Linked DNA regions of Zea mays. The protein of the gene in region 1 binds, or shares a complex with, the protein of each later gene. Links are inferred from orthologs where the notes say so. Each region holds a gene or a part of one and is shown in the gene's direction. Other genes may lie near its edges.

Region 1 (6,505 bases):
GTTTGTTCAGCTTTGGCATCAGGAGCACCTTCGTCAACAACTCCCTCTGTCACAACTAGACCTGATCGTTCCATTACTTCTGAAATTGGTGTCGTTTCAGTAGCTTCGGTTTTGTCTCTCTCACGAGACACCCTTGCAGTTGATTGCACTCTGGCCATTTTGATAGATTTTTACAGTTTGACGAAGCTAACCCGTCTGACGAAGTTAACCTTAAAACGATGAAGTGCAATGACAATGAATGTTTTGGTAACTCTTCACCAACCCGTCTGTTTATATAGTGCTGCAGGGGGAAGGCAAACCGCCAGGCTGCCTGCGCTCGCTGAATGGTGGACCGCTCGACGCCTGGAATATTATAATCGTTTCTCGGCAACGAGCTCAGGGAAGGTGTTTTTCGGACCTTCGGCATTCCGAAGCCTTCGAGTTTTTTCGCGGATCGAGCTCATTACGAAAAACGATCTACACCGCGAAGGGGCTATTGTTGGGGGCCTTCTTCTTCGCCGAAGGTCCCCTAAGCAAAAACACCTTCAGCAAGGTGATATGCAAGCAGGCACAACATGAAGATATATGCCGAAGCTACAGTTGAAAGAGCTTCGGCATGATGACACGCTTGAGACGAAGGGCAGCACCGACTTAGAGAGGAAAAGATCGCTTAGTCCCTGATAATTTGTGTCATGGTTATAACTATGAAGGATACAAATGTAATTTTGTCCGAGCTGCGTCCTGTGCCTATAAATAGATGAACAGTACCCATGTATTGTTCACGCTGACTTATAATCACTTGCACATCACTCTTTCTAAAATGATTATTCATACTTTCTCTATGTTTCTTACGATCGTGTTTATATCTCTGTATATTGCAATGAAGAAGGTATGTCCTTCGTAACCTTCGTCCGAAGATCATTATATCCTAAGGGAGATAATGTGATGAAGGACAAAGGTCTATAACCATTAACATTTGTGTTGCCTTGTTCTTGATTCAAAGCTTTTGAGAACAAGTGCCAAACACTCGTCGAGTTCGAGCTTTTTTCCCAGCCCTAGCCACGGCCACGGTCCTGCCCGGTCGGCGGCGCGCGCACGTGTGGCAGTCCTTCATCCTTTTCTCAGCTTCTCAATAGATGCACCAACGGACCACCTATTTAAGTTGATTGAATTGTCCCTTAAACTTCTGGTATTATACTAAAGTACTAGTACACCGTAGCATTAAAATGGGCCTTTAGCATTGACTATTATTGAATATTAATATGGGCCAGACCCACATTAATTCAACAAATGACACTATAAGGTGACTTATGCAACACTACCTCCTTCCAAGAGCACAATAGTTGGAAGCTCTCTTCTCAAGTTACAAACAACACTTTCAAGGCTTTCTCTTTTCCATATCAAACTGTGTCATGAGCAATTATGCATTTGTAGGTATCTTGAAGTGAACTTTGTAATTCCTTAGCACCAATGTGTGGTTTCTTCACAAGGATAGGAAGAGCTTTTAAAGCTACCCAAACACTTGTTAGAGTGCTAGTCCTCCTCCGTCTATTAGATGTACAAATGTGATATCATTTAGCATAATCATCTATAAAAATAACAACAAACATCACTATAAAGGCAATAACGTAAATAGATAAATAAATGTAAAGTTTTTGATATACATAACATACAAATATAGTCGGTGAATCATACCTTTCAATTATTGCATTAATGCTCCAAAGACAGTCACCTCCTCGGCAATAACCTCTGTATTTCTTAGGGCATGTACAGTGGTGTTTAATATGGGGGCTCTTAAGGTGTTTTAGGGGGTTATTTGCAAAAAAATCTTAGAGCCGTCTCTCCGTGAAGAGACGCCTCTGGCTCGTAAACCAAGTAACAACAAACGCCTCACTTCCCACTGTACGAATTTGTCGTCTGTTCTATCGATCTGATGCTATACAAATACATTTAATTCTGTATTTATTAACCGACTACGTTTAGAGACACTCCATTGTACAATAGAGTCTCTTAGTTGTCTCCTGTGCTTAGAGAACCGTTTTGGTGTCTCTCCACTGTACATGCCCTTAGGGCATGTACAACCCAGATACGACTGCACGGTACTTCAAGTATAAGACACAGCTAAAACACAACACAATACAGTGGTCGTGTCTAAAACGTGTGTCTTACCATATTCATTGTACCAATCAGAGCATTCAATAAATTAAAGTGACCAATCAGCTAGCCTCCTGTCTCGAACATAGAGCTAAGACACTGTGTCTTCGTCAAGATACATGTCTTGAGTTTTTTTACATTCACCCCCCTAGACACACTCTAAGACACAACTTAAGATACTCATTGTACATGCCCTTAGGCTACTAGCCCAGGCCTCCGGTTCCGCGTGGGCCCGTCGACTAGGGCGCACTCGCACCCTCCGCCGGTCCTGAACTCATCGATCGCAGAAGCGAGAGAGAGAGAGAGAGGAGGCCGTACCCACGCCGCCGCTTCGCCGCCGCCGACCTCCGTCTCTCGCTTCCACCATCTCTCTCCTTTTCACCCTCTCTCGCGGCCACCCTCGGTCCCCTCCCTGAGCCTTACCCTTGACTGAGTGGTTTCCAATTTCAGTTCCACTCCCTCTTCCACCACTATTCACGGGGAGGCGCGGCGAATCCTGCGAGATTCCTCCCGGCCCACGCGTGCGCACGTTGGCGATACAGGGCTAGAGTTTCGTCTCCGGCGCTTTGCGGAGTTAATTAGGAGAAGGAACTGGAGAATGTGTAGGTGGTGGGCGCTGAAACCCTAGCTGTTCGGGACGGGCGTGCGTGCGGGGATGGCAGGGGAGCTGGGGCAGCAGACGGTGGAGCTGGGCGCGGTGGTGCGGCGTGCGGCGGAGGAGTCTTATCTCGCTCTGCGGGAGCTCGTGGAGAAGTCGCAGGCGGAGGCCGAGGGGAAGGGCATCGGCGCCGGAGCCAATGGCAGCTGGCAGCGGTCCGACACCGAGAAGAAGATTGACTTGCTCAAGTTCATCACACGCACACGCCAGCGCATGCTTCGTCTCCACGTCCTTGCCAAGTGGTGTCAGCAGGTGATGCCTAATTTCAGTCTTTGCTATTTCTCTTGCTTGTCTGTCTCCTTGTCATAATTCTGCTGAGGTATGCTAAGAATTCAATCTGACTGGTGTGAGTGCCTAATATCCTGTTTTAGTTTGGTTTAGTGGCATTGTCTCACCTATCTAGCTCGAGTGGCATGTAAAGAAGGATATTCATAGTTGTTGTCTTATTGCAGTGTAGTGGGATAGTGAAGATTGGTGATTGTTGATGAATTGTGCCAGCATTTTTGCCCCTAATTTTGTAGGGTCTGTACTCCAGTTCCTAGTAGGACACAAATGATTGTTTGGTGGACAAAATGTAATCCAGTTCAATCTTGGCATACTCATTGATTTGTTTATTTTGTTTTGGTGCAGTGGTATTATGAAAAAGCTCAATTTGTTTCGCACTAGAAACTTATATTATTTTTCTGGTGCTGTCATGGTGTGCTCTAGCATAAACGACGAGTGAAATAAGACCGTTTTACAATGTACTTGAAATAGTGCGAACTGCGAACCACCATGCACACATAGATCAGGGGAATGTAAAATCAACAAATATAATTTAATAATTAAACTATTAAACCATTGAAAATGCATTATATATCACGGGAGTCGCGAAAGGGCCTCTAGCCTAGTGGTTAAGGACTTCCGAGTAGCACCTCCAAGTCCTGGGTTCGATTTCCCCCCGGGAGCGAATTTTCAGGCTTGGTTAAAAAAATCCCCTCGCTGTGTCCCATCCGCTTTTGGGTTACGATGTCCTGTGCGCCACCCTCCGGTTGGGCCGTTGCAGAGTGGACAGTTGACGCCGGCCCGTTAGTGATTGGGGGCCAGGGTTCGGGGATTTTCTCGGCCGGGACCATTGTTTCGGTCTCTTCTTAATATAATACCGGGAGGGCGGTCTTTCCCTCCCCGGCCGAGTTTTTTTTTATCACGGGAGTCTCATTGATTTATATTGCTTCCATTTCAAATTGTAATATTTCACTATATGGTTTGAACTGTGGTAATGTGGTTGTTATGCTGTCATAAATATTTGTTTCTAGCATATATTTGGTGCAAGCTAATCCTAGTGCAATCGTGCAAGCCACTTTTGTTTTGTAACAAAATCAAGATGAAGTATTCTGATTTTTATTAGATTGCTCATTATCTGGTTCACATCCATAAAATCCTTTTCTTTTAAATTTAATTGACAACTTGACATATAATTTCTGTGCTACAAATGTAATTAAACGTAGGACAGAAAAATGAGACTGTCTAGTAAAAAATAAGTTGACAAGGACAATGAAAAGTTTAAGATTTCCTTTGTCCCAACCAAGCTTAGATATAGCACTGAACTAGTCCAAAGAGCACTTCCTCAACGGATCCAGAAGTACTGAGGTTGATTTAATGGCATTTTACATCATTCCACTGAGCCAATGGATTCCTTTAAATATGCCCCACTGTACCTTAATTTTGTTGTTATGTCAGGCTGTCAGCTGTGTACCTAGTGCTGAAAGCTGAACACAATGTGGGTTCTGGAGAAGGGGATTCTCAACAGCCTCACCCTCGCATAATTATGCAAGGAGGCTGTTTCAAACATGGTTATTAAAGCGGTAAAACGTTAAAACGTTATGAACCAACTTTTCAACGTTTAAACGTTTAAACGAACGTTGAAACGTCTTTTCAGACTTGACATAGAATTTCAAATATAGAATAAGTTCATACATAAGTTGAGTTCACAAACCAAATAGCATTAGCATAAAAAGAAACATATCAAGTTCAACAACACAAGTTCAACCACACAAGTTACAACTTTTATGCATGATTAGTAACCATCATCGAACTCATCGATATTAAGACCATGAGCATAGCGCCTTGATCGTCACCATCTTTTCCACTATTGCTTCCTTCAATTTCATCTTCCACATCAAGATCATCAAGAATATATTCCTCATCATCTTCATTTGCTAAATTAGTCTCCTCTTCCTCAAGGTCTTCATTCCTTCTCACACACCCACCACCAGCTCTCCTAGGAAAATTACGACCTCTGAGATGTGCAGATGCACCAATAGCTTCATCAACTTGGTCCCATGATAAATTGAAATCATCTCCAAAAGCATTGCTAACATGAGAAGAATTAGCTAATGGATCAACCCATTCATTGTCCCAATCAAAGTCTTCTAAAATCAAAGGATCAAAGTTTTTTCCTTCCTCATGTATTTTTTGAAACCTATCAGCCATCTTTCTGTTGTATGAAACATATACCAAGTCATTCAACCTTTTGTGCTCTAACCTATTCCTCTTTTTGGTATGCATCTACAAGTGCAAATGGGCACTGGCAGTTGGCGCAGAGGTGATGCAGAGCGGTTGGCGCAGAGGTGAGGCACTGGTGGCTGGCGCAAAGGTTACAGGCTAGTCCCTCAGCTGCTGGTCTGTGAAGCAATGGGCACTGGCGGCTGGCGCAGAGGTAGCAATGGGCTGGAGCAATGGGCTGAAGCAATGGAGCGGCGGCGGCTGGAGCACTGGGCAGCCACACTTGCGGCGGCGCACTGCCCTGTGGGTGGAGGGAAGAGGGGGGAGGGAGGAGGGGGGCCGGCGACGTACCTGGAGGGCGGCTGAGGACGGCCGACAGCGGTAGCAGGCGCGGCAGGGAGAGCTCCGCACGTTCTGCGGCTGGCGGCTGAGGGCGCGTGTTGCGGCTGGAAGCCTGGAACGCGTCTGGGAGTGACTAAAGGCCCATTAAGGCCCACTAACACATAGAACGTCCGTAGAACGCTTAAAACGTCCAAAACGCGCGTTCACGACGTTTACACGATGCTTAAACGTCCAAAACGGACGTCCAACACCATTTTATTAAAACGTGTGGACGTTTTGGATTCTAATCACGTTCTACCGCTTAAACGACGCTTAAACGTCGTTTAAACGACGCTTTAATAACAGTGGTTTCAAATCCAGTACCTCCAGGCCACAAGTGGAGACTCTGCCTCTGTAATGTCAATTGCTATCACGGACATTTTGTGCAGGGATTTTGTCTGACACTATTCCATCTGTCAATTTTTGCTAAAGTTGGGTTGTAGATCATTCACTCTTTGCCCTTTCTATATGAAGTATGGGATGCAGTCAAGTTAGTTTTACAGCCTCTATTAATATATTAACACTTATACCGGCTTTGATATCATAATAAAGTAAGTTTTTTCAGGGAAAATTTTCTTGTTAGTATAGCTTTTTGAGGACGTTAATTTCAGTGTATTTTGTCATTAACATATCTAATTTCAAACTACGCAGGTTCCTTTGGTCCATTATTGTCAACAGCTCGGATCAACTCTCCACAGCCATGAAACATGCTTCACCCAAACAGCTGACTCGCTGTTTTATATGCACGAGTGCTTGCAGCAGGCTCGGGCTCCTATGTTCGATGTTCCTTCTGCTATTGAAGTCATGCTTACAGGGGGTTATCAGAGGCTTCCAAGATGCATAGAAGAG
Region 2 (6,505 bases), on another chromosome or scaffold:
CGGTCGGAACCCTAACGGCCGGGTGACGTGGCTGGCGCACCGGACATGTCCGGTGTGCACCGGACTGTCCGGTGCACCATACGACTGTCAGTCTCCACCAAACGGCTAGTTTGGTGGTTGGGGCTATAAATACCCCCAACCACCCCACATTCAAGTCATACAAGTTTTCCACTTCTCAACCACTTACAAGAGCTAGGCATTCAATTCTAGACACACTCAAGTGATCAAATCCTCTCCAATTCCACACAAGGCTTTAGTGATTAGCGAGAGAGATTTGTTGTGTTCTTTTGAGCTCTTGCGCTTGGATTGCTTCTTTCTTTCTCACTTGTTCTTGTGATCAAAGCTCACTTGTAATCGTGGCAAGAGACACCAATTGTGTGGTGGTCCTTGCGGGGAAGCTTTGTTCCCGGTTTGATTTGAGAAGAGAAGCTCACTCGGTCCGTGGGACCGTTTGAGAGAGGGTAAGGGTTGAAAGAGACCCGACCTTTATGGCCTCCTCAACGGGGAGTAGGTTTGCGAGAACCGAACCTCGGTAAAACAAATCCACGTGTCACACTCTTCATTCGCTTGCGATTTGTTTTGTGCCCTCTCTCTCGGACTCATTATTATTTCTAACGCTAACCCGGCTTGTAGTTGTGATTAATTTTGTAAATTTCAGTTTCGCCCTATTCACCCCCCCTCTAGGCGACTTTCATAGACCATTAAAGGCTAATCCTGCTAGCTGTTTTTCTGCTAAATGAATTTGGAAGCATCGGTTTCTTGTATCTCGGAATCTCCGGATGTAATCATTAACCGATTCATCTTTTGTCTGTCGCAATGACACTAAATCTACCAAATCCAACTCGTAGTCACCGGAGAAAAAATGGTCATGAAATTTTTGTTCTAGATCCCCCCATGATGAAATAGAATTAGGAGGTAAAGTGGCATACCATGCAAACGCGGTTCCTGTTAGAGATAATGAAAACAAACGTACGCGAAATGCCTCCGTGTCAGCCAATTCTCCTAATTGTGCTAAAAACTGGCCTATGTGTTCACGTGTTCTTTCCTTGATCACCCGAAAATTTTGCGAATTCGGGTATCCTGGTTCCCTGTGGGTATGGGTGGTGATCAAATCGGCTGTCATAAGGTCTCCGATATGATTGCCCCTCAGGGACCATGCTTACTCCGAGCTTATCTCGGAACGCCCCGGCTATTTCTTCCCTTACTATATCAATGGCAGCCGGTGCAAGACCACCGGCTCTCTGGTCAAACATAGGTGGGGTTGGTTGTATGTTAGTATGTTGTCTTTCTCTCCATTGGTTTGAGCTACGTGGTGCATTGCCACTTGCCCTATATGGTTCATATGTTTGATCGTTCCTTTTCGGCCTTCTAGGTGGGACCGGAAAGTTTTCCTGGCCTCTAGATCTCGAATTAATGTGTTGATGCATTGCATAGTGCGATGGGAAGTGTTGCTGGGATGGGCGAGGATTCAGGTAATAATCCTCCTCAAAAGACTCATGCGCGGACTGTCCGGATACGTACCCGGACCGTCCGTGGTTATATGCGGACCGTCCGTCGTTGTATGCGGATCGTCCGACTAGGTAGTTTGGGTTCTGTGTCATATGTGGTGGCTCGGGTGCGTGTCTGGGTACTTCATTAAAAATGGGTTCGGCCGTGGCTGGCCCGGACGGTCCGCGCTCACGTGCGGACGGTCCGGACATGTGCAGATCGGCTGTTTTGCTGCCGATTTGCGGTTGCTCAGGGTACGTGTCTATCGGCATCCCATAAAGGGGTTGTGACTGGTCGTGACAATCTACAACCGATGTATTACGCGTGTTACCCCCTAATTCTACCTCGTGTGATGGAAAATTTGCAATGCTAGATTTGTCAAATGCACGCGCTAATCTCCTATAGTCGTTTTGCATATCCCCTATGATATTTTGCATTTGTTCACGCTGTTCATCTACATAATTCTTAAGAGATTACAGCTCGTTTGTATTACTTACATTGGGGATGTCTGGCGTGGGTCGCAGTGAAGCCGGATCTGTCGCCCGATGTCGGACGACTTTGTTGTTCCTGTCCACTTTGAAGTTGGCCAAGAACCTCGCTTTTGCCTCCTGGATCATCTGCTCCTTGTGCTCCTCGAACTGGAGCTGTTCGTCAGCCGGCAAGGTCTCCTAAGTCGGCTCTATGATGTTGCTTGGGGAAATATTAGAGCTATCTCTTGAACCGGCCATTGAGGGCCGATTTGATGCGTCTATATTTGTGTCCCCAGCGGAGTCGCCAAAAAGTATGTTGACACCTTTTTGGAGGCGCCAATCACTTAAAAAAACCAGCGGCGGTGCTCTCTGGTCAGGCGCGGACGGTCCGCGGCACAGGACCGGACGGTCCGCGACTTGGCGCGAGGCGGTGGTGCTCTCTGGTCAGGCGCGGACGGTCCGCGACACAGGGCCGGACGGTCCGCGACCTGGCGCAGGAGCTAAGGTTCCCTGCCTGACGGCCGGATGGTCCGCGCCCTAGGGCCGGACGGTCCGCGCGTGCGCAGGGGCGGCGGGAGATCGCCGGCGGCGCCTGGATCTCGCTCCCGGGAGGGACCCCGTCGGGGAGGAGAGATCCTAGGTGGTGTCTAGGCTCGGGTAGACTGACCTAGACTTCTCTAATCGACGTAGAGTCGAGGAGAGGCGGAAGATTTGGGGATCGAGAGGCTAAACTAGAACTAGACTAGAACTACTCCTAATTGTACAGGAAATAAATGTGAAATATAAGTTGTATTGATTCGATTGATGATTACAAATCGGCCGTATACCTCTCTATTTATAGAGGAGGGGGCTGGACCCTTTACAAACTAATTTCCGAGCTTTTCCCGCGATTTTAGCTAACAAACATAGCACAAAACTCGGAACCCTAATTTACTCTGCGCACGCACGGACCGTCCGGCCCACAGGCGCGGACTGTCCGGACCGCGGACTGTCCGGCCTCCGTCCGCGCTCCTTTTGGTGCCAAACAATTTATAATTTTGTCACTCTCAGTTTTGACTTTATTATATTATCCCATATCTATAACTGATAGAATCATCTGTGTCTATAATTTAGGGTCCGACGTCATATTAATGAAGCCTATAAATGACAATGGTAAAATTGCCGATGGCTCAGCATTCTGCAAATGTGTGGTGACCGGAAGACTTGGTGGTATCCCAGGAATATGAGCGAGCATCTTTTGAATACCGGCACATACATTTTTTAGATCCGGCCTGGTCCATGCTACGTGGGCTGGATCCTGCAGACCCATTCCTGGATGAAATCGGCCTGCTACAATAAAGCCGCCGTCCTGCAAGTCTGGGACGGAGGAAGGAGAAGAGGGAGAGAGTGGTGGGGATTCGGCATGGACATCATCACGCAGCTGCAGGACCAGCTCGACGAGATGGCCGTGCTGGCCGTCAACACCTTCGGCACGCTGCAGAGGGACGCGCCGCCGGACCGCCTCTCCAGCAGCTACCCTGACCCGCTCAACCCCAACCCTAAGCCCGAGGACGACTCCAAACCCCAGGTCCAGGCCCAGCCCGGCGCGCCGCCGCCGCCACCGGCGCAGGCGCAGGCGCAGGCGCAGCCGCCCGCGCCTGACCTCACCGAGCAACCCAAGGCTATGAGCCGCGCCCTCGTCCTCGCGGCCAAGAAGGTAGGTACCCTGCCCCACTTCTCTTCTCGGTGTCCCCATCTTCTGGACCAAATGCCCGCCCGGTGATTCCAAAATATCTTTGTGTGGTTAAGTAGAAAGTTTCGGCTCGCTTCGTAGTTTTACTCGTAAGTCTGATGCTGCGAATAAGTGAAGGACCAACTGTTTAATTTTTGCTTGCTTGCCCGCGTTATGTGGAGACAAACAATGAAACCGTGTTGCCACTTACTAGTCTTCATATCTTGCTCCATTGCATAAGATAAGATGTTTATCCCAACAGTGTACAGAACAATCTTCATCTCTTGCTCCATTACATAAGATAAGATGTTTATCCCAACAATGTACATAACGTAGAGTCTTCATCTCTTGCTCCATTTCATAAGATAAGATGTTTATCCCAACAACAGCGTACAGACGTAGAATCTTCATCTCTTGCTCCATTTCCTAAGATAAGATGTTTATCCCAACAACAGCGTACAGACGTAGAGTGATGCATACGGGAGGGAGGGAGTGAGGGAGATCACTTTGTGTTAACCATGGTTGAAAACTTGAAATGTAAAGACTGGCAAACTTTAGTTCAAATTATGCTTGCTGCAGTTCCAACTTTTTCCCCTTAAATGAGGAACAATTATGGCCTTCTATGCAGTTTGATGCACTTGTTGCAGCAGTGCCACTATCATCAGAAGAGGATCAAGTGAAAAGAATCCAAGAGCTACAGGTAGATATCAGACAGTCAGATTAATTCATCGAGCACAGGATGGGCATCTGCCAAACTCCTACTCCAAATAAACTGTATGAAAATCTGAAATTTGCAGGCAGAGAATGAAGTCGTGGGACTGGAGCTCCAGAAGCAACTTGAAGCTGCCGGTAACACGATCCCCACTGTTTCTAGAGTTCTTACTATTATATGTCTAATTACTGATGTCATTGCGTTACAGAAAGGGAGTTGAAGCAGGTTGAGGTGCTGTTTAATGAAGCAACAGACAATTGCATAAATTTTAAGAAGCTAGATTAATTACGTTAATGTAAGTTGAGATGAATTTCTTCCTACAACTTATCAATGCACTGTCAAAGTCAATTTCTCTTTTAATTTGGCTCCAACAGTTACTTCTTGGTTTTGTATGTATTTGGCATCAAGTGTTGGAAACCGATCTAGCTCATAAGATATTGTGTTGACGTAAATCCAATGTCTGCCATAGCAGGTTTGCTGAAAAGAAACTGTTCCTGTGGATGGAGTGTGGAGGATGAATGCCAGTAAGAACTTTATATTCCGTCTTTTCAGATTCTCTACTAGTGAACAATAATTGCACTTAGCTTTTGTGTACTGGCATTCTGATCTGCCGGATTAGGATTGACCTTTGGTTGTAAGGTGCAATGTTTTTAGTATGAACTGACGCTTGAACTGTGGTGGTCTTTTTAATGGATCTGGCACCTGGCTTCCTCTGGGATTTCTTCTATATTTTGGTATTTGTTCAGTACCTGAGACCTTTGACACCTGTTCCTAAACTCCCCTCCAGCCACTGGCCTGGAGTAGAACTGTATTTGGGAAATAAAAGCACGGAAATTCTCTCTACAGTGCTCAGACATGATACTGGTTGGTTCTGCAAGGATACTCCCTGCTCACTCACACAGACACAATAACAAAACAAAGAGAAGGAAAAGATGCATCATTCCCCTACAGCCTTATTCATCGTCCGTTGAGCACAGCAGCAGCAGAGCAGCCCGTCGTGTCAAGCATATTTGCAGGTGCCAAGGCCTGCAAGAGGATCCAATGATCCATCATCCGGTGTCAGCTCCCCCAACACGGTTCACGGGCAATGAGACACTCACAGCAAGCAAGGAAGCACTCACTGGGGTCAGTGATGGTGATTATGCCGGTGCCGTTGAAGAAGCAGTTCCACGAGTTCCTCCCCCGGGCCTGGTAGTAGGCGTTCATGGCCACCGACGCCCGCGACAGCAGGCTGTCGGGCTGGGCGCAGCCGCCGGTGCCCTGGATGGCGCCGCAGTCGCTCTCGGAGCAGGCGAACTCCAGGTTGCCCCGCAGCGCCGCCTCCTGCGTCGACGGCTTGGCCACGCACCATGTGTCGCTCCTATGGTGCAAGGTTTCTGCCGCCGCCGCTGCTGCTGAAGAAGATGGGATTTGATTTCAGTGCCAGATTGTTAGTGGATAAAGCAGCCAGAGACGAGGGATCCTTTACCGTCGGTGTGAAGCGCCGATAGTGCGAGGGCCACGAAGAAGGCAAGGAATGTGACGTTGGGTGACGCCATTTCTTCAGGCTTCTGGACCAGAGACTGCAAGAAAGAAGCAGCCTGTCTTCCCGTGTAGAGCTTTGTTGCAACAGCAAACGATGTGTGTGTGTGTGTGTGTGTGTGTGTGTGTGTGTGTGTGTGTGTGTGTGTTTGCCAGAGAACATGACCAAGGATTGGTTGCATTCTAGTCAAATTTATAGGGAGGAGGAGGAAGGTGAACAGGAAGAACAAGCAGCAGCAGGCCAGCAGCACAAAGGCCGTGTCTAGAAACGGTTGGTTTTAACGCGTTTTATGGCCACATTACACCGGGGCCGCCACATTCAGTATCCGGTCATGAAAAGGATAATAATCAGTTGACGTGAAGCTGAACGGCAGCAGTCTGTACGGAATTGCCGCACATGCAACGGAATGCACTTTTGTCAGTCCAGTCAAATGTTTACCTTGCATCATAATTCATGAGAACGTCAATAGGCCTTTATATGATTTCTATACAATTTAGTTAAACCTAGAAAAGTTTCACTTAAAACAAAATTTAAACATCAAACAACATTAGAACAACATGTGATTTGAAATGATCATCTAAAAAGACAAGCGCGGAAACATC
Region 3 (6,358 bases), on another chromosome or scaffold:
ATAAGGGTGGACCCACTCTTTAATCTCGTCTAGCTCCCCTTAGCTGCGGCCAGTAGCAAAGCCCTCAGCAATTACGGTAGGGTCAATCTCATCAAAATGAGAGACCATTGGCCCAAGGGCCATGCTGCTCCCCAAGAATAATGCGCCTTGGGTAACGACGCGCTCCATGTGGCCAGACAGCGCCTCCAGCCGATCCATGCATGAACGGAACCGAAGGCGACACAGGAGGGCATAGTCGCGTGCACACCTTCGTTGCAGCCAGCTGAAGAGCCTAGAGCTCCGGCCTCCGTGCTCCACTCCGAGAGGGAGTCCTCCACTAGGACTCATGTGACGACAGCGCCATCGCTGGCAACCGCGAGCTTGTGCGCCCCATACTCCGTCGCCCTTTTTCCGTCCTCGGCCGCCTTCTGGGCGCTGCGAGCCTCGAAAAATATTTTTTTGAAGCTCTGCGAGGGAGGAACACAAGAGCAGCCCAGAGGGAAAGACATCCAACACAACTAGAGAGCTCACCTCCGGACGACTTGCGCTCCCGTGCGAGCTCTGTGCCCTGCTCCTCAACATGGGCCATCACCGCCTTCAGCAATGATTCAACGTCGATTGCTTACCGGGTCGATTCCACAAACTGATGAGGTGGCGAAACTGTATACAACAGAATAATCTAAGCAAAAACACATCTAATCTAATAGATACTACTGAATATATACATAAGAAAGACAACTAAGGCGGAGAACAATGGGATGGTCGAGCAACCCTAAGACGTATAAGGCCTTAAGACCCAAAAATAGTCATCGCTGATTTCTGGCAGATTCTGGACATTATCTTGTTATGATGATTCTTATTGAATCCGAGCGTATTTTGACGTGGAACTAGTTGGGTTGGGAAGATTGTCTCTTTAGCTTTCCAATGATATTTAGAACGTCCAAAACAGAGTCCGTGTGTGACTCGAGCGTCTATTTTTGTGAGGGCTACTCCTGCACCCCAAACCAGACTTGCGAATAAATTGGATTTCAACTCCACTTTAGCTTAGAACCCTATCATTGATTGTCTTGATCATGTAGTTGGTGTTCATGTCCTCATCAAACCGGATCTTCGTTCCTTCGATTTATCCCTTGATAAAGGATATATCGAACGAATAAGACCACCATTATAATAGGTTTAAGAGAAGTAAAATAAGTAAAGATGATTGATGTCAGACATTACTAATACACTTCTTTTCTTATTTCTACTTAATTACAAATGATTACAATAATACCTTCGAGAGCTTAAGACAACAGTTCGAAGGTAGAAAAGTAATAAAGCTTTGAAGGCGGAGCGATTTCGATCCGGCAACGTGTCCTGTGTATGACATTGTGTCTATATTTATAGTGACGATTCGATGTACAACTTCATATGAAGTTATAATCATGCTCTCAAACCATATACAAGTAACCACAAAATTTGCCTGGGGAATCATCGTTTTTGTCTTCCAAAGCCTTGGTGCACACATCGGTGAGTCCTTTGTTCGTTTTCTTGTCATTCGCTTCGAGTTTGGCGACATGCTTTATCTGCACGCTTAAGCCAAAGCTTCTTCTGTTCCTCTTTTAACCTGCATTAGCGACCTTCGGCAAACATGAATTGGTTGCTCTCGGAATAAATGATAAAGTGGTTAAGATTAGTTGATTTTAATTAAGGACCTCCTGCAAAGGCTTACCCCCAACAATTGCTTTCAATGTACGGTAACGTTTAATATACTACGTATTGTGTATTAATAGAGTGATTCACTGATAATAACACACCCATTTGGTTACATGTCAAGCCAGATGACATGTCTAGAACTATCTAATCAGAGTCACAATCAATAGGGACAATCGTAGCAGTAAGCCAACACACCACTCAGCTCTTCCTACATTCAGTGGCGGATCTCCAACCGAGGCTGGGGCTGCCTGGGCTGCAGCCCGGTCGCGGCCCAAAAATCAGCGAATAAGCCCATCAGCTCCAGCCGCGCGACCGCGTGAACAGCCTCCCAGTCGTAGGTCGCTCCTCCTCCCTCTACCCACGAGCTTCAGGCCTCCAACCGCCCACGCCCCGACGCCCGGAGCACCGCTGCAACCCGCAGCGTCGCTCGCCCGGAGGCCGGACCGCCGGAACACCGCCGCTAGCCCCGCCCGGAGCACCGCCTTGACCACGCCGCTGTCCAGCCGCCACTCCGCGCTCCCTCCTTCTGCTAATTCGTGGAGCTCAGGTTTGTACACACGCGCTGAGAAGAAAGTGTGCTTAGCTATTAGCTTGTTCTTGCATTGGAGTGATGAGCCAGACAGCCAGTGATGTATGGCCTTGCCATAATGCCATGCGCGGTGTGCGGCGTGTGCCAATGCCCCTCCAAGCTTTCTGTTGGGGGTTCCTTGTTCTGTTGGGAGTTTGGGACGATGAAGGAATAGGAGGCCAAGAGAGTTTCTGCTAATCTGTGACAGATCATGCAGGAATAGGACGTCCCATGCGAACTGCGAAGCAGAAGCAACGAAGGTGAAGCTGTGATCTGTGAAGCAGACAAGCAGTGAAGGTGAAACATGTGCTATTGTTTGCTTTAAGTTTGATTTGAAATTTTGATTTGATTATTTATTTGGTAGTAATCCCATGCTTATAAGAATAGGATGGATAAATTTTTCATCAAGAACCAGAAGAAAGATGATTCTAATTCTAAAACAATTAGGATAAACGAGAGTCTTGTAAAAAAAAGACCACGTATAGTAGCTCTGGATCCGCCACTTCCTACGTTCTGTCCGCACGATTGATCGCGAGCTTCCCAACAACACGCGTCCAATAATGTAATTTTTAGAATTTATTTACTATACGGTCTGGGAAAACAATATTATTTTTTTAGAAAAAAATCCATGCCTACAATCTCTAGCCCTGGTCCAGATGCGTATGTCGAATAAAAAGGCCCATCCTGATCTCGACCCGATATCGATTGGGCCATTTCGGCATTTCCTGTTTTCACGCTTTGCTTTCGGTTTCGGGGTCGTCGTGTCGAATTGGGGGCTGAGGCCGAATTGGATCGTCAGAAGCTGGGGGTGAGGGAGGGATGGAGGCGACTGTGGACCACCTGAGCGCGGCGTACGACGACTTCATGGCGGCGGCGGCGGCTGTGGTGGAGGCCCGCGTACAGTCGGGCGGCGAGAAGAAGACGGCGGCCACGGACGCCGCGCTCGAGGCCTTCAAGCAGCGCTGGGAGATCTTCCGCGTCGCCTGCGACCACGCCGAAGAGCTCGTCGAGTCCATCCGCCAGCGCATCGGCTCCGAGTGCCTCGTCGACGAGGCCACGGGGTCCGCCTCCGCCGGATCCGTTGCCGCCCCCGGCATCAAGCCCATCAGCGCCGTCCGCCTCGAGCAGATGAGCAAGGCCGTCCGATGGCTCGTCATCGAGCTCCAGCACGGCGCCTCTGCTCAAGGGACCGGCGGCAGTGGCGGTGCCGCTACCCCAAATGCCGGCGCTGGAGGGCAACACCCGGAGGAGGGTGCCCAGTAGGTATGGACTATGGAGTTACTGAATTAAACTAGTAGCATCGCCCTTCTCATATGAAAATTGTAGCATTTTTCCTTCAATAGAAAACAAAGAACTTGTCGTTGCTGTGTTTCTATGAGTGACAGCATTAACCTTGCGTGTTGATATTTGCAAGAACATGAACTAAGGTGCCGTTTGGTTCATATATTTGTAACGTAATGGGTAATGGATAACGTTAAATCATGTTTGTTATAGTCCAACCGTAATCAGATACCGTACTAAAATTTGATACCAGCCTATTCAAATTTGTTACCGCCAGTAATCGAGCGTAAACTATTACCATTACCATTTGCGTTACATTTTTTGAACCAAACAGCACCTAAATCATTGCGATTTGCTGGCTGTTGTTTTTACCTTTCCATTTTGAGATATACTACTACTCAGCATTAATGTCTTTATGCCCATTGGTTATTGCCCAATCTTTACACAGATTGCTAAAATGCTGCTCTCCATAAAAAAAAATTATAGTGTCGTGACAAAGCATGAGAGGTATATAGATCTAATTACATGATGACCAGAAAAAAAAAACCTGGGGGTATAATGCTGCGCCAGTTTTAAGTCTGTACCTGTTTGGACCAGCCAGTGTATGGGGATTGGTTGTTGCAGTTTTTGATTTTGAGTCAACTCTTTTGTTGAGTGAAGAGATAAGGTTGGGAACTTGGGATCCCTGGTTTGAGATAGACAAAAAAACTAAAAAAGGGCTGATCCAGTGCTGGAGGCTCTCACACGAGTGGGGTCTAGGAAAGGGATGAGCTTCGAACTCACGACTTAAATTAGGTGCCGTTTGGTTCCTAAAATGTAACGTAAATGGTAACGGTAATGATTTGCATTCGATTACCAGGGGTAACAAGTTTGAATAGGCTGGTATCAATTTGTAGTGTGGTATCCAATTACAGTTGGACTTAAACAAACATGATTTAACGTTATTTGTTACCTATTACATTACAAACATATAAACCAAACAGCACCTTAGTTCCTTTATCGTTCTATAGATCCAAAGTTTTATTCACCACTGCTATGGTCCCTACAGATTCATGATATTTGAGTTAACAAAGCAGTACTGGTTTTCATTGTTCTCAGAGTATATTCACTAGTCATTTTCACAAAAGCACGAACTGAATTGAACAGTAATTTAGTAAGATGGTTACCAAGAAACCAGATATGCCCATCACTGTATCTCAAATGTATGTTAATCTATTATGTGCAGAAAAAAAAGATTTGACTATGCTACATGACAGTATGCTGATAAACTATTGGAAGTAAGCAGAAATGTGGAGATGTCATAATCTGTTTGTATCGATATTATAGGATCTGTAGACAAAGTACAATTTCACAATTTGATGGCTGCACTCAAGAGAATTGGCTGAGGACTATGAACTACTCCCTCCATTTCTAATTATAAGATTTTTTGGCTTTTCTAGATCAATAGTTTTTGCTACACACCTAGAAATATATTATGTATAGATACGCAAAAGCTATGAACCTAGAAATGCCAAAATGTTTTATAATTTGGGACAGAGGAAGCATTAGCAGAAAAAACATGCGTTTACATCCAACATGGATTAAGACGCGTTAACGCATTATCATACCAAAAACATAGATGATATGGTGAGCAAAGTGCATTATCATACCAACAACAGTAACATGGATTAAGACCACAACTGATTGTTAAAATTTGGCCACTGACTCAATATAAGCAGTGTACCTAAAAAATAGAGCTGAAATGAGATAATCTGTACAGAAACTTTAAAGGTTGTAACCAATGCCAAATTCAGAAAATAGAGCTAGATAAAATATTAGCTCCATAAGTATACCGGACTTTGATAAATGTAACATGCTGAATGATACTACTCCGTATCATGTGAGAAAAGGATCTGAGTATCTGGTCGATTAATTTAAGAATATATTAAGACCTGGAACTTCTGAACTTTAAACACAATAAACTAATAACCTAAGAGCATAGTTAAGTTATACTTGGTGTACGAGATCTTAAATCTACATTTGCAGGCCTTGTGCTGCTGTGCACACAAAATCAGGGAACACAAACTCTTAAATCAGTTCTTGAGATTAGAACCTACTTACATCTCTCTAGCATAGTCCTGTAAGCACTATTGCATTTTTCTCTTGTTACAAAAGAGACATGCCTCTGCATATCCAGTCATAGCAAAGTTAAATTGAAATAAATGCCATGAAATATATAATACTCTATTAAGAACTTAATGTGGGCACCTGTTGTTACCATGACTTCACTCCTCCGCGCTGACACTCTGGGTCCGCCCCACGCATGCCGCGCAGCTAATGTGCCTACCCAGTACTTGACCCCGCCCGTGCAGCTACCACACCGTGCAAAAAATAGTGCAAACCGAGCACTCGAACCCACACTTCCTTGCTTCGGAAATTCAGGGCTAACAATCAAACCACACTTACCTTAATGTTTAGAAATAAACAATAATTATATTTGAATAAATATCTCAATACTTATTTATATGATATACAACAATCGTAGCAAAACACGGAAATAAACAATAATTATATTTAAATAAATATCTCAATACTTATTTATATGATATATAACAACCGTAGCAAAACACGACTGGCTATTAACCTATAAATTGCCATGACATAATGACTACTTCTATTTTAGGACGGAGGGAGTAAATTGTATCGATCCATATTATTAAAAGTATGAATTCCATTCAGTTCAAATATTTTTGCCAAATTATATATGTTAACTTTGGTCTGAGTACCTCTAGAGCCTTTGCTGTTCTTAATGAAACCTTCAAATCTGAATTAAATCTAGGAAAATGTGAGCACTCA

The links. The genes of interacting proteins can lie anywhere in the genome.
Region 2: mediator of RNA polymerase II transcription subunit 14 (region 1) and Mediator of RNA polymerase II transcription subunit 21 share a complex: the UniProt entries of both Arabidopsis thaliana proteins name them as parts of the mediator complex. The link is inferred for Zea mays from reciprocal best matches to the Arabidopsis thaliana genes SWP and MED21.
Region 3: mediator of RNA polymerase II transcription subunit 14 (region 1) and Mediator of RNA polymerase II transcription subunit 32-like share a complex: the UniProt entries of both Arabidopsis thaliana proteins name them as parts of the mediator complex. The link is inferred for Zea mays from reciprocal best matches to the Arabidopsis thaliana genes SWP and MED32.

Annotation. Positions count from the first base shown.
Region 1 is NC_050097.1:176,301,653-176,308,157, reverse strand, and holds the start of mediator of RNA polymerase II transcription subunit 14, read left to right. Parts: upstream 1-2,294; 5' UTR 2,295-2,788; coding exon 2,789-3,043; intron 3,044-6,307; coding exon 6,308-6,505. UniProt on the Arabidopsis thaliana protein: Component of the Mediator complex, a coactivator involved in the regulated transcription of nearly all RNA polymerase II-dependent genes.
Region 2 is NC_050099.1:37,996,999-38,003,503, forward strand, and holds Mediator of RNA polymerase II transcription subunit 21, read left to right. Parts: upstream 1-3,360; coding exon 3,361-3,654; intron 3,655-4,297; coding exon 4,298-4,369; intron 4,370-4,466; coding exon 4,467-4,518; intron 4,519-4,589; coding exon 4,590-4,666; 3' UTR 4,667-4,676; intron 4,677-4,850; exon of another isoform or gene 4,851-4,853; 3' UTR 4,854-5,108; downstream 5,109-6,505. Other genes in the region: putative X8 domain containing family protein isoform 1 precursor, read right to left, coding at 5,382-5,407, 5,503-5,775, 5,850-5,919. UniProt on the Arabidopsis thaliana protein: Component of the Mediator complex, a coactivator involved in the regulated transcription of nearly all RNA polymerase II-dependent genes.
Region 3 is NC_050101.1:142,577,513-142,583,870, reverse strand, and holds Mediator of RNA polymerase II transcription subunit 32-like, read left to right. Parts: upstream 1-2,942; 5' UTR 2,943-3,061; coding exon 3,062-3,505; intron 3,506-4,748; 3' UTR 4,749-4,961; downstream 4,962-6,358. UniProt on the Arabidopsis thaliana protein: Component of the Mediator complex, a coactivator involved in the regulated transcription of nearly all RNA polymerase II-dependent genes.